Linked DNA regions of Caenorhabditis elegans. The protein of the gene in region 1 purifies or fractionates together with the protein of each later gene. This does not show direct contact. Each region holds a gene or a part of one and is shown in the gene's direction. Other genes may lie near its edges.

Region 1 (7,258 bases):
AAAATGCTTGGACGTGAGATCTTCTGTGATCTTCCATCTGAGCAACGAGTCGAGAGAATCAACTCACAAATCGATAGAATTCAGACAGCGATAAGAGAAACGAAAGATAATCGATTGAGTGTGATGCAAAATGGCGGAGGTATTCAATTCTGCCCGAACTTCATGTAATCTACAATAATTTTGAGACATTTCAGAATCGTCAGCCAAGTTTCAAGGTCTGGACGAACGTCTTCAAGCTCTCGCTGTTGTCATGCTTCACTATTGTTCTGCTCTTCAAGATTGCCAATCAGGAAGATCCACACCAGCTCCACCACCAGATGATGATAATCAGAAGAGAGAGGTAATGGTTTCAAACGTAAAATAAAATTTGAAATGACATGATTAAATCCAACTATGACTATTGGATAAATGAATACCCATTCCTAATCTCTTCTAAAAGTCTCCAGATTACCGAAGAAATATCATCCGTCAACGTCGACTCAAACAATGAAGAAGACTCCGAAAGTGTTCTAGATGAGGATACAGTAACCGGTGACGTTCCGGTGCAACACGATCATCCACTTGAGCGACCAACAAAGCTGGATCCGAGTTCGGATGCAGTTGAAGCCCATTCCTAAATGTTTTCTTATTGTTTTCTCCTGATTTTTGTAATTTTTGTGCCAACTCAAACTTTGCACCATATCACATTCTCTTCTATTCTTTATCACTTTTCATCATCATTTTCTATCACTTTCTTTTCTCCAAATCTGTGATATATAAAATCTCGAACCAGTCCCTCCATCCCGAGCCAGTGCACCAAAATTTGTCGAAAGTATTTTGTCTTGCAACTGTGATTTTTACTATTCCTAATCTTATTCGTGTATTCATCAAATTTAAAATTCCATACGCACCAAATCAAGTTTTGATGACTATACATACTTCATCATTCTCTGAATCCCCATCGAAAAACTGCATAATTTTTATTTATTGACTCGCGAAAAATTGAAAATGTCATTCCCTATTGCTTCCCACGAATTGTCCCTAAAACACTGTACGTTTCACATAAATCTAATTTATCTTTTAAGTCCTTCTTTTTCAAAGTTCTTGGTTCAAAAAATATCTCGTCATTTCGGCTAGACAAGGTACTTATTAGGAAGATATAGCATGTGATTGGTAGCTGAAACAGCTGCTCATTGTTCACTTTTTCTATTTCTCGACTTTTCTATGTCTCTTAAGCTTCTTTTATTGAATTTCAGAGAGAAAAGAACATATTTTTATTGATTAGAAATAATGAGCAAATACCAAAAGTGGAAATTATTCAGATTAGCTTTTAACATTTATGAAATACTTTTTTTCAAAATAAACGAATAACTTTCAGTGCCAAATGGCTGCTGCAGTGATCTCTACTACATTATTTGGTTGTGTTGGATGTCAAGCGGGAATCGAATATTTACAAACGTAGATTCAACGTTCTCTACAACTTTATTTCATAAAAGATTTTTTTCAGATATGTGAAAAATAGTCTAAACCTTATCACATTCGCATCATTCATTTTCACAGCGACATATGGTCTTATATTTCACTCTAAATTTTTTACGGTTCCCAATAGGATACCGATTAAGTTGGTTTTTAATAATTTATTACCAAGACGCAAATTTTTGCGATTTTTATACGGTACCTGGTCTCGACACGGCAAAATTGTGCTGAATAGAAGAAGACGCGCCCCTTTAAAGAGTACTGTAATTTTAAAATTTCGTTTCTGCAAAACCATTGAAAATCGATACAAATTTGAAATTACAGTGGTCTTTCAAGGTTCACACCTTTTTTAGTCAACAAAAATTTGTCGTGTCGAGACCGGGTACCGTATTCTGGAGCAAAACCTGGGTGTTATTTTACTGATTTTCTCATTCAGGTCATATGCGAAAATTGTGGCGATTTTCTTTACAGTCAACATGACAAACAATTTAGCTTTGAAATTTGCAATTTATTTTCCACTTTTCATAATTTTCAAATCGGTTCGTTTTTGAATATTGCAATTTTGAATCAAACATTCAGGGCACACTACTTACGAACATGACAATGGGATGGATTATACGAAATTATCAGTACAGTTTAAAACAAATCAGTGCAGTTGTGGTAGTTACAGCTGGAATTGTAATATTCACGTTGGCCAGTTATGAGCCTGGTGCACAAAATGTTAGTTATTCCAAATTTTTTAATTTGGAAATGCAAATTTAATTGTTACAGATTCGATCAGGAATTGACTCAAACTCATGGTTAATACCAATTCCTCCATTTGTCGTTGGGTTGGCTCTTCTTTCTTTTGCACTGATTCTCAGTGCATATTTGGGATTATATCAAGAAACATTCTATCAAAAACATGGAAAACACAATGAGGAGATGATGTTTTATGTGGTAAGATATCCCTGTCTGAAATAATTTCAATTTCTAAAATTTCAGCATTTCCTCTCAATTCCTTTGTTTGCTTTCGTTGGTGACGATATGGTTCCAGCATTCCATGCCGCTTACTCAACACCTTCATTTGTTATTGCTGGATTGGATACTGTAGTCCCATCGGCATGGGTGTATATTTTTGCAATTTGCCTATTCCAGTAAGTTCTAGTGATTATTTAATTTGACGTTAAACTTTGAAAGTGAAGTATAGTCAGTGGGCATTTTTCTGAAATGGCTTAATATCAAAATTAAACTGTTCAATAACGTTTTAATTGTTTCATTCACAATCAAAAATTGAAATTATTTAGTTTTTGTCACTCAAACTTTTAAAATTGAACCAAAAAATATTTTAATAATATGCACCTGATGTACCTAAATGTGTATTTCTCTATAGGTTCTCGAAAAACTAAAAATTTTCGAAATAATTTTCGAAGAGTTTGGCAATTTGCCAAAACGTCGGGTCTCCGCGGAAGAAATTAAAAAAAACAAAAACATTTTTGTTTCAATGGTCAATTTTTCTTATTCTTATATATTATAGATTCGCTTGCACAAAAGGTGTCTACATGCTCTCCGCCGTGACAACATCTCTAAACGTGACAATGGTCCTAACTCTCCGAAAATTCTTTTCGCTTTTGATCTCATTTATAGTTTTTGAAAACGTTTTCAACATGTTTCACATCATCGGTGCCGCATTTGTTTTCATTGGAACAATCCTTTTTTCAGTGTCATTTGCCCGCTTTTAAGATATCAATCTCTCTTCATCATCTCGAATTTGTATCATTTTTTGCATGGAACATTTCAGAACAATGTGATAATAAACTATTTGCACTATGAATTGATAATCGAATACACAAGTAGACTATATTTCCACTGTTGATGTGGATATTTTACATTTCAAAAATACACGCGAGAGAGTGGAGTAAACCTAGAGACGGAGACAGTGAGAAACGCCAACTGGCAAAGCGTCCCCACGTTGAGAGTAGGCATAGGGCTTCAGGATGCAAATTTATTGATTTTTGTGGCCCGGCTCCATGAGCAAAATGAGCCTTGAGTACAAAAGAACGGGTCTTCTTATCATTATTAATATTATCAGTTATCACCATAGCCGCACCTTCACCACGTAACACACTTTCTCTGTTTCTCTAATTATCTTCTTCTTACTGTTGTTAGGCAATTGAAACGTTTTCTGAACGTGGAATTGAAATTTTTGAAATGAAATGAAACGTTTCTTTAACGTGGAATAAATTAATATATTTAAATATTTTTTTATATTTAATTAAAATTATTATTTTGAAATTCATACCATCATTAATTCTCGTTTTTAAGAGTAAAAATGGCTGATCAAAATGCGAAAATTGAGGTTTGATATTTTTATTAAAAAATCTATTGATGAATATTGGGAATTTGGTTGCATAATAAAGTGCGCTCCATTGAGACATCATTGGTCTTGCCACGATACATATTTTTAGAAAATGAGAAAGCTCATCTTTAAAATTTTTGAAAATTTTAAAGCTGAATAATAAATTGCTCAATTTCAAATAATTCATCAATAGAGTCCTAATTTGTCGTCGTTTTGTCTCTGGTTTCTATGGGAAATATTCCAATTCTTTGGTTGCTATGTACGTTTCCTTGGCAAATTCCTTCGTCTTTATACTTAAAATGCACTTCTAGACGAAACAAATATTTGAAACAATGAACTCACATGATTCAAAAATATTCTGTCAGACTTGTTCCAATGGAAATAATCAGGTATTTGTTGAAAATAATCTAGAAATTTTTAATGCATCAGACGGCACTTCTTTTTTTTTCATTTTCGTGTTCCAGTTTGTTAATGAATAAGAATCTCTCCGGCTTTTCCGTCTTCTATTCTTCCAATCTATACACTCATTGTCTCAAATAAATTCGGGATTCTCTATCTTTCTTCCATCGAACACGGTTAGATTTTTATCCTCCACTATTTGAGAAAAATCCTGATTCTGGGGGCGTGTTCCTCAGCTTTTCCTCATTATTTTCATTCTTATTCGAAATCTAAATTGAACCGTTGCAATGCCAACCGGCAAGTCTGAATCTTCTGATATTTCTGAAGTTGTTGGTAACATGGAAATATCTAAAGTTGAGGTATGTGACTGATTTGTTAAGGTTATCAAATTCTATATATTTAATCCTAGTCTTATAAATACTGATTTCCTTGAATTAGATCAGCTCTAGTGGAATTTCATATTTTAATTATTTGTATTAATTTAGTACACCGTCGAATAATGCATGAATGTTTTAAACTGATCAAAAATTATGTGTTTCCAAAGTTTGGCAGATTGTCAAAATCTTAACTGAAAAGTTCAAAATCTAAAACATTCTAGGTATTTTTGACCGATTTAAAAGATATGTTGGTCTTCTGGAAAATATAGAGAAATTATAATTTCCTAACCATACCGCTTTACATTTAAAAAGTATCCTAATTACTTTGCATTAGTACAATTCTAAATGCTCCCCTATTATATTGACACAGCCTAGGATTGGTACATTTATACATTTTCCGTAAAATGAAGTGCCACGTCCCTTTTTCCATGTTTCGCCTCTTTTCCCTCTCTCTCCCTCTCTCTTTCGATTGCCTCTCCTACGTGTCGCTTTTGGGTGTCCCGAATTGCATTAACTGTTGGCTTTTTGTACATTCTCAATCATTCTGATAGTTTTATCAGTTAGCCTAATTTATCCCCCTTTTTGTGAATAGAATTGAAATGGATTCTAGTGCTGAACAGGTAAATAGGATGTTCCTTTGTCTTTGGGAGATTGGTAATTTTAAATAGGATATCAAAAATTCTAAATTTCAGGGTCTTGAAGCGTGTATCGGAATGAGCCACGAAGTGTCCACTACTCCAGCTGCTGAGTTGGCTGCTTTCAGAGCACGCAAGGTTGCTCTGATTACTGGAATTTCTGGACAAGTATGTTAATCATTTTTCTTGCTTCGTATTTACGCCAGCACTTTTTTCAGGACGGTTCATATCTTGCTGAGCTTCTTCTTTCAAAAGGATACAAAGTTCACGGAATCATCCGTCGTTCATCTTCATTCAATACCGCAAGAATCGAACATCTGTACAGTAATCCAATTACTCATCACGGTGATTCTTCATTCTCTCTTCACTATGGAGATATGACTGATTCATCTTGTCTCATCAAGCTCATTTCAACTATCGAGCCAACCGAAGTGAGTATTGTTATTCATACAGAATTACAAATATTCCAAGCTTCACGCAGACAGACAAAAATGTCTGTCTGCGTGTTAAGATTTTTCTGTACCTCCGTTTTATATGTTCTCAAAATATAACCAGTTAATTATGTTCTTTCTAGGTGTATCATTTGGCTGCTCAATCTCACGTCAAAGTGTCTTTTGATTTGCCAGAATACACTGCTGAAGTAGACGCTGTTGGAACTCTTCGCCTTCTCGATGCAATCCATGCTTGTCGTTTGACTGAAAAAGTTCGATTCTATCAAGCATCCACATCCGAATTGTATGGAAAAGTTCAAGAGATTCCACAAAGTGAGAAGACTCCATTCTATCCAAGATCTCCATATGCTGTTGCCAAGATGTACGGGTACTGGATTGTTGTTAACTATCGTGAAGCCTACAATATGTTTGCTTGCAATGGAATTTTGTTCAACCATGAGAGTCCAAGAAGAGGTACGTCAAATTTTTCAAACTGCAAAAAAAAGCCTGCAAAATTGAAAGCAACTCTCATGTTGGTATTTCAGGAGAGACATTCGTGACTCGTAAGATCACTCGTTCAGTCGCTAAAATCAGTTTGGGGCAACAGGAAAGCATTGAGCTCGGAAATCTGAGTGCTCTTCGTGATTGGGGACACGCCAGAGAGTATGTTGAAGCAATGTGGAGAATTCTTCAACACGACTCACCAGATGATTTTGTGATTGCAACTGGAAAACAATTCAGTGTCAGAGAGTTTTGTAATCTTGCATTTGCTGAAATTGGAGAAGTATTGCAATGGGAAGGAGAAGGTGTTGAGGAAGTTGGAAAGAATAAAGATGGAGTTATTCGAGTTAAAGTTAGTCCAAAGTACTACAGACCAACTGAAGTGGAGACTTTATTGGGAAATGCTGAAAAAGCAAAGAAGACTCTTGGATGGGAAGCAAAGGTTACGGTTCCGGTGAGTTTCAAAAAGTATTCAAGGTTTTTATAATTAAATTTTGAACTTATAAAAACCATTGTAATTGAAGAATGGTTTTACTTATCGAAATCCATGAAAATTATATATTTCAGGAACTCGTCAAAGAGATGGTTGCAAGCGACATTATCCTTATGAAGTCCAATCCAATGGCTTAATCATTTAATCAACTCGATCACAATTTCCAAATTGCTTTATTATTTTTTAATAGTTCCCGTTTTCTCTGTTATTCTACCTAACTTATTGATGATTGCTGTGATGCTTTTGGGACCTCTGGGATTATTATTTGACCTTCCTTTTTTTGAACAATGAAGCATTCTGTTTCGGGATGTAGATTTTTTGGTAAAAAACAAATATTTACTATTGGAAACTAACTAGACATTCAGCAAGGACGCAACGCACGGATGCAGCCACTAGGGTCCAAAGAGGGCGAGTTGAAGGAGAGAAGCGCCACGCAACGCCTCACTCTACCTGAATGTCTCGAGAAATACTTTCAATGTCCATGTAGTTTTTTGTTTTTCTCTAATGTTTCTCTGGCACCACCTACAACTTAAGTTTCGACAAATTTAAAAAAGATTTCGAGAAAGAAAAATAATGAATCTTCATCTTTCGGTCACTGTTCATGCCTCTCACTGAACCCAAAAAACTTA
Region 2 (7,258 bases), on another chromosome or scaffold:
GCGTTTTGAAATTTAACCGTAGTTCGAAGCTGAAAAGAAAAATGTTGTTATTAAAAGTTGAATAATATTCCATACCCATACGGAGCCATTCGTTATAAAATATGCTGGATCTTTTGGACTTTGAATAACGTGTTCAACGTGAATGGCATTCACAACGTCGTGACGGTTTCTCGGAACTCTGGAAATTCAATTATTAATAATGGATATCTCAGTTTTTACCTTACCTAACTCTGACCTTGTACGAATTCAGTAACAATTCCTCATTCTTCACATGTACACCATTAGCACAAAACAATACTCGGAATGGGATTGCAATGTAATCGATGCTCTGTTTGAAGCGATCAAACGAGTTACTTGACGGATCCAGAACTGCAAAATAAGTGCTCGTTTCATTGGAAATGTAGACGACTCGACAATCAACCATCTCGTCCTCTTCCTGAAATTAAAGCAATTAAAAATCACACAACAAGGAGCAGTATCAAGATTTAGTTGCTTTCATTTATCTTGGAGTCCTTTATATTATTTTTTCAAAGTATGTACCAGGCATAGATCCACAATCGTTGGCACGAAGGAGCCTTCTTCTTTCTGAAATTCCATTCGAAAATCGTAGAGATGACCGGCAGAAAGTTTATCACGGTACTGTTGTAAACCTCTGAACACTTTCCCGATATGTGGAACATTCATACTTGGAAAGTCTTGATTCTCCATCATACTGCGGCAGCTTGCATTCGCTTCAATCTGAAATATTTCAATTGTTTGACGAAACGAATGCTGGGTAACTCACGTATACTTTTCTGGTGATCTGATCAGTGATGACTTTCAGATTCGGCCATTCCGTTGAACGAAAACTGGAGAGTAACTCGTATGAGCAAGAGAAACCAAACGAATTTTCGGGGATACATCGTCTGAAGAAAATGATTTTATGATATTAACATACTTACCAATTACTCACTTTACGAGAATCACATGAACACTTCCGAGGGAAGGCATTGGAGTGTCAAGAGACGTGCTTGGTAAAATGGCGCATCCCATTTTCGGTGTCCAAAAAAGTGCTCCGTGATCATTTTCAGCGATAACGACTCCTTCCAAAACTCCATATACCATTGACTCGGCGATATAAGGCAAAGTCTGAAAAATCGGTTGTATATTTTGCTTTAAGGCTCTTAGCTCAACGTACGGTTTCTCTGTAGTAGAGCTCGAAAATGGGAGTAATTGGAAAATCAGCATAATATCTCCAATTGACAGTCACGCCGTTTTCAAAACTTATTGGCTCCCAGCATACGCCGATTCGATAAATAAAAGGAGTGTCGGTGTTTTGCAAATTTGATCTACTTGTGATTGAGGTTTGAAGCACACGAGTTGGAAGTACAATCTTTTGAAAGTCCGTATTCTCGTTCTCGATAATGCTGTAATCCATTCCATTTATTTTAAATGGATCTCTTTCTAGACATTCATTTGAGAAGTGCACAATAGCGAAGATCTGAAACAAGTTGATTGTAAAATGGTAAAATAATTCGATTTTCATACCACAACTTTGGAATTCACCACCGTTACATCACGAAACCATTCAAAACTGCCACATTGTGCGACAAGCTGAACATTTTAAATTGAGAAAGTTACTCATAATTAATATGATACCGATGGCAAAAAGCTGTTCGCGTGTTCAAATTTGGCTTTAACAGTTGCTCCTGGAGTCGGCGGAAAGTTAAACTTTTCCGAAGGAACGGTGATGCAACAATGATCACTGACAGATCCATCCAAGAATGCGACTCTCCACTGAAAATAATGATTTTACGAACTAATTAAAAATAATTAAAGAAAATACCTCAAACGAATCTCTGAGCTGATCAATCAAAACGCCGTATTTATAAAAATGCATTGTTTTGCGGTGATAATCATCGGCAAGTCACAGAAACTCGTAAATCTGAATTAAAAATGTTTTAAAGAAGTCCAAAGCAAATCTGAACACTTTACGCTGAAGATTTAACCGAATTTCACTATTTTCAAATTTAGAAATCACTTTTTAACAAAAAAATTAGCTAAATGAAAGCGAAAAATGGGAAAATCTCCGTTTGGACCGAGCAGGCATGCACTGGTGGCGTGGTGAGACCTGTGAACCGACATGCATGCACCTTTAAGTGTGACTGTAACCGGATTGAAATTTTCAGGCCTACAACGGTGGAATTAAAATTGTTGTGAAGACTTGTTCGTTTGGTGTAGACGATGATATGTCGAATTTTGAACTGTACAGAAATAAGCCATAAAACATTTTGATGCTAATTTCAAGTTTTTGCGAACCTAAGCAAATTCAAAGAAAAAAGGGCGGAGTTGGTCTGAAACTTCTCAGTTCTCACTTTCCAGCTGCTTCCAAAGTTTTTCCATGATATTTGGTCCTTTTGCCACTATATATGTAGTTTTTGACTATTTCCCCACAGGCGATACTCCTGCTTTAAAGAAAAATGTAATAATGACATTAAGTTTAAAAAATCCCAGATTTTGGTGATTTTTCCACTCTTGCTAAAATCTCCCATTGACAGTACTCCACCATCAAACAAGGACAAACTCAAGAAGTTTAAACAAACGATTCGAATGTCTATTTGTTTGAACTTTCTCCCAATTCTTTTTTTATTTACAAACACATTTCCTCATTCTTTCTTCCCATTTTTTATTATAGTTTTCGATGACTCTTTGCAGAAAAAAAAAACGAGAACTTTTGCTTGTTTAGTTAACATTTGAGATATTGAGACAGTTTGTTCTTCTATTTTTCAACATTTATATACGATATTTTTGAAGAATATTTTCTCTAAATTGATCTCAATTGTAATTCACAATAGAAGCCTATACATATCCTAACTAGCATCAATAATGTATAATTCCTTTTCAACCGTGACCATTTCAATTGAATTCGTTCCGAATATCCTCACTTTCTCTTTCAAAGTGTCTGCCAACCTTTTTGAAAAGACACGAAAATGATGATCTGTTCGCATTTGGGCAGGTATTTCACAAGTTTTTGCAATTTTATAGAACTTGGAATTTCAATATATCCGCAGAGCATTTATTTTGCGATTTTTGAGCAGAATTTTAAATAATAAGTTTTCATAATATTCTCAGACCTTTATATTTCTGTCAATTTTCGTGAATAATGTGATAGTGAAACATTCAAATTTCCTCACAAGTGTTCTGTAACAATATTCCCGAAAATTTTCGTGCAAGAATCTATTTTGCAAAAAAAAAAAATCAAAAGTCATATTAGGGGGACGCAAAAAACGCCTTTCGAAATCGAAAATCAATCTCGCCCCAACGCCAATTTTAAACGCTCCGCCCCTAAACATTGGGTCTCGTTAGGTAAAACCGTAAATTCAAGTTTTTTCCACTTTTCTGTTGCTTTTAATATTTCTTTTTAATTTTAAAATTAAGTTAAGAAGTGCATGATATAGTGACATGATATAGTGGGAAGAAAACGGTTTTTGATTCAATTTTAATTTTAATTTTTCATCATTTTTCACGCAAAATTCTAGAAAAATAACGAAAATGTTTGAATTTCCCAGAATACCTTAAAAAATACCAATGACAAATAATAAGCTATAATTTTTTTTGTAGCAAAATTGTTAAATTTTCTAATTGTCAAAGTTAGGAAAGTTTCCCCAAAAATTCTATTTAATTTCGAAATCAAAAGTATTTCAAAATTTCTTTTCTAAAATTCCACTGACTCATCATCACATCTCTTTTCTTTTCGAAGGTCTCTTTTTCGAAAAACCACTCCCTATTTTTGTGGACAATAAAAGTGTTCAGACAGTTTCAAATGACTCATCGCAGTTATTTCGTTCTCAATATATTTCTGCCTTATTTTCGAAGCATAACCAGTTATGAATCTCTTTCAATTTAATTTTATTTCCGTTTAAAAAGTAGGAATCAAAGATGAACTGACGTCAATTTTCCACTATTTTGCAGACTTCTTTTCAATGTTTCACAAATATTTACACTCATTGGTGGACGTAATACTTGAAACTTCCCTACGAAGAAAATAAATAAAAAATATTATCCAACTGCGAAATTACGAGAATCTTGAATTCTGCCAGCCTCATAGGGAGCTATTAGGCGTTTTAGGAAAATTAAAATATTTACTTTAAAAATCCTAAAAAAAATAAATCTGAAACGCTATCAATAAAGCATTCAGAAAGTACTGCACTTCCCACATTCTATAGATTTGCTCATAAAATTTGATGCATTGGCCGTGTTCACACATACTTGATACATCATATTTTACAAGCAAATTCGGTTCACTTTTTCTTTGTACTATATTGAACTGTCGTGTAATCCCTGATCCAAAAGTGCAAAATTCTTTACCACATTCAATTCTCCCATTATCCAAATACCTCAAAAAGTCTACCTGAAATATATACCTCAAAGTTCTAGAAAACCGACATAATGGCAACTGCAAAGATCCATTTCAAGCCGTATTTTGATGAGGTAAGCCTGTGGGAAACTAGTAAAGTTAAGCCGAAAATTGTAGGTTGCCGCCTCGGAGCAACTAGAGAAGGCTCTTAGAAACAAGGAGAAACTGAAGATTTTGGAAATCTTGGTTTCGGTTAATAATACACAGAGACAGATGGTAAGATTTTAATGGTAGGTAGGCATGCCTGCCTACTCACCTGCCTATGTCTAAAAGCTCCATATTTCCAGATCCGCACACCCTACAAAACTCGTTACGGAAAGGATTTGGAAGATGAAATCAAAAAAGCATTTTCTGGAGATTTCGAAGATTTTCTCGTTGCTCTACTTCAAACTCCTACTAAACTAGACGTGACTGAGCTGAATCGATCTGTGAAGGGTCTTGGAACAAATGAGAAAAATTTGATCGAAATTCTGACAACTAGGACTAACGAGGAAATTGAAGCGGCGAAGTTAGTTTTTAAAAAGTTTTTCGAAATTAGAAGCTTGAAGTCAAAACTAAATTTTACAACAACAGAAACAATTGGGAAGTAGGCATGGTATAGACATCAGGCGGGAACGTGAAAACACATAGGTAGGCAGCGATTTGGTGCAGAGTAGGCACTTAGGCAGGCATAAGGTAGGTCCGTGGGTAGACAAACATAACCCAGACAGCACTATGGTTATGAATAAGGCATAGGCAGACAGTCTTGATGTAGGTCCCGAAGCAAGGTATAACGTAGGCACGCAGAAAGGCGGAGATTTCAAAAGTATGAATCAGTCGTAATTCCTGTGCGTAGGCTTTTGAAAGCTAGTTAGGTCTCCCGAAAACGAACCCAATGATAATTTTAAAGTTGTTTTCTAGAAAATGTCCTTAAAAAAATTAATATCAACATATGTTTTTTCTAGAAACACTTACTTCATGACTTACTCCAAATCATTGGAAGATGCAATTTCTGCTGATACTTCTGGAGACTTCCGGCGTCTTCTCATTGTCATTCTCCAAGCAAAACGCGAAGAAGGTGGATTCGCTGATACATTCAAAGTTGGGCCTCACGCTGCTCAAATTCTGAAAAGTTTTGACAAAAAGTCTGGAGTCGAAAAATTCGATGCGTTCAAGATCTTTGCAACATGCAATGGAGCTCATATTCAAAAAGTTATTGAAGAAGTCGAGAGACAATCTGGAAAAGAGTTCCAGAAACTTATTGACAAGGAGCTCAGCGGAGATTTCAAGAATTTGGTGTTGTCTCTTATTGAGACTTCGAGAAATAAGCCTCGATATTTTGCAAATTCGATTCATTTGGCAACCAAGGTAGGTGCAAGATATTTGAAATCTTAGTTCAGAGAAATTTGACTTTAGGTAAATGACAAAAATTTCCTGATTTGATTTAAACATTTATCTTTTTGTTACATGTAGGAACTTTCACAAGTCTACACACATATCGTGCTTAACTTCCTACGTAGGCACGGAAGTAGGCACAGAAGTAAGCAATGTAGTAGGCACGCGTGTAGGCGTAAGGCTTTAGATAAAATTAATCAACTATGAAGATATAGGAAAAGAGTTAAACTAAAGCTGGTAACGCTAAAAACATTCTAGATAAAAACCCTCAAAGTTCAGGAAATATTCATGTTTTCAGGGAATGGGAACACGTGACAAGGATCTTATTCGTATTCTGGTATCCCGATCGGAAAATGATTTGGTGATCATTGAACACGAATTTCAAACTCTTTTTGGAAAACCATTGACTCAGGTGAGCCTATCAAGTAGACTGATATTACCTGCAACGTTTACGCCAAAATGTGTACTGAAAATAGAACAAAAAATATGTTGATATTTCCAAATACAGTTCAAAATACAAATTTCTATTTAAGATCCCCAGAGCGATGTTCGTAATATTTTCTATAGAAAACCATATTGGTTTCTCTTTATAAATTTCATAAAATTGCAGCTAATCAAGGAGGAGTGCAAGGCAGAATACCGTGATGGTTTGACGATGCTTGTCAAGGGAAATCCAAGACCTTAGAAAATGAAATACAAACTATCGATTAAAATGCTTTCTGTTTGAAATTGCTTTACATTGAAACTACTTTATAAAATCTATTTCTAAACGTTTTTATTTTAATAAAAGTTTGAAAAATGACAAGCGACAATTCCAAAAAGTGCTCACAAAGTTTTCTTGAAAATTAGCATTACATGTCCCACGTTCAATGCTGGTCAACATCCCATTATAAATTTCTTATGATTTTCGAGCAGCTGACATCTCCCGAGTCGGTTAGAACAGAACAGGACCTGAAGCAATTGTACCTCAAAACCCCGATTATTAATCGAAATATTTTTCTATAGAATTTCTGATTAGACTCATTTAAAAGTCTGTTAAACTAAATGCAGAAAAATATTTATTTCACTGTAGAACAATGTTTCAATTAATGTGCCAGTCCATAATTTTGGCCATTCTCTGTTTCATCACGAACTCTTGATCTTTTTAAGATTCTCCCCTTGAATCAAATTCAAAAATTTGTTATGTAGCAAAACTGCAGACTATAATTATCCATAAGGTCCCCTCCCGACGCCTTTTCCGTTTCCTTTTAGATTCCATTTCTTTTGTTCTTCATAGTGACCCTCACATGGATCGAAAATTGGCGTGTTCCTCGTTCATCGGCATTCGATTCCTATTCATTCAGGCTCTATTTTGCAATAATTCAAACCATCTCTCTATGTCTTGTCGGGGAAGAAGAGGTCATGGTGGGGTTGAATTTCCTCCCTTTTCCCACCGTAATTCAGGCGCCGTTCCGTCGATTCCGCCATTTCACCGCCGACACACACACG

Evidence for each region. The genes of interacting proteins can lie anywhere in the genome.
Region 2: the proteins of bre-1 (region 1) and nex-3 fractionate together in Caenorhabditis elegans (co-fractionation; one large-scale study listed by BioGRID). This does not show direct contact.

The regions. Positions count from the first base shown.
Region 1 is NC_003282.8:8,983,509-8,990,766, forward strand, and holds bre-1 (GDP-mannose 4,6 dehydratase 1), read left to right. Parts: upstream 1-4,414; 5' UTR 4,415-4,479; coding exon 4,480-4,551; intron 4,552-5,068; exon of another isoform or gene 5,069-5,168; coding exon of another isoform or gene 5,169-5,189; intron 5,190-5,261; coding exon 5,262-5,372; intron 5,373-5,422; coding exon 5,423-5,635; intron 5,636-5,778; coding exon 5,779-6,109; intron 6,110-6,180; coding exon 6,181-6,590; intron 6,591-6,703; coding exon 6,704-6,766; 3' UTR 6,767-6,936; downstream 6,937-7,258. Other genes in the region: pdzd-8 (PDZ Domain containing), read left to right, coding at 1-139, 186-340, 447-617; nstp-1 (UAA transporter), read left to right, coding at 1,364-1,437, 1,487-1,600, 1,892-1,994, 2,035-2,175, 2,227-2,394, 2,440-2,591, 2,972-3,176.
Region 2 is NC_003281.10:4,437,665-4,444,922, forward strand, and holds nex-3 (Annexin), read left to right. Parts: upstream 1-4,416; 5' UTR 4,417-4,428; coding exon 4,429-4,470; intron 4,471-4,513; coding exon 4,514-4,612; intron 4,613-4,683; coding exon 4,684-4,904; intron 4,905-5,340; coding exon 5,341-5,743; intron 5,744-6,068; coding exon 6,069-6,182; intron 6,183-6,380; coding exon 6,381-6,455; 3' UTR 6,456-6,573; downstream 6,574-7,258. Other genes in the region: C28A5.2 (REJ domain-containing protein), read right to left, coding at 1-29, 76-178, 225-436, 541-738, 785-905, 953-1,128, 1,178-1,480, 1,528-1,593 and 2 more.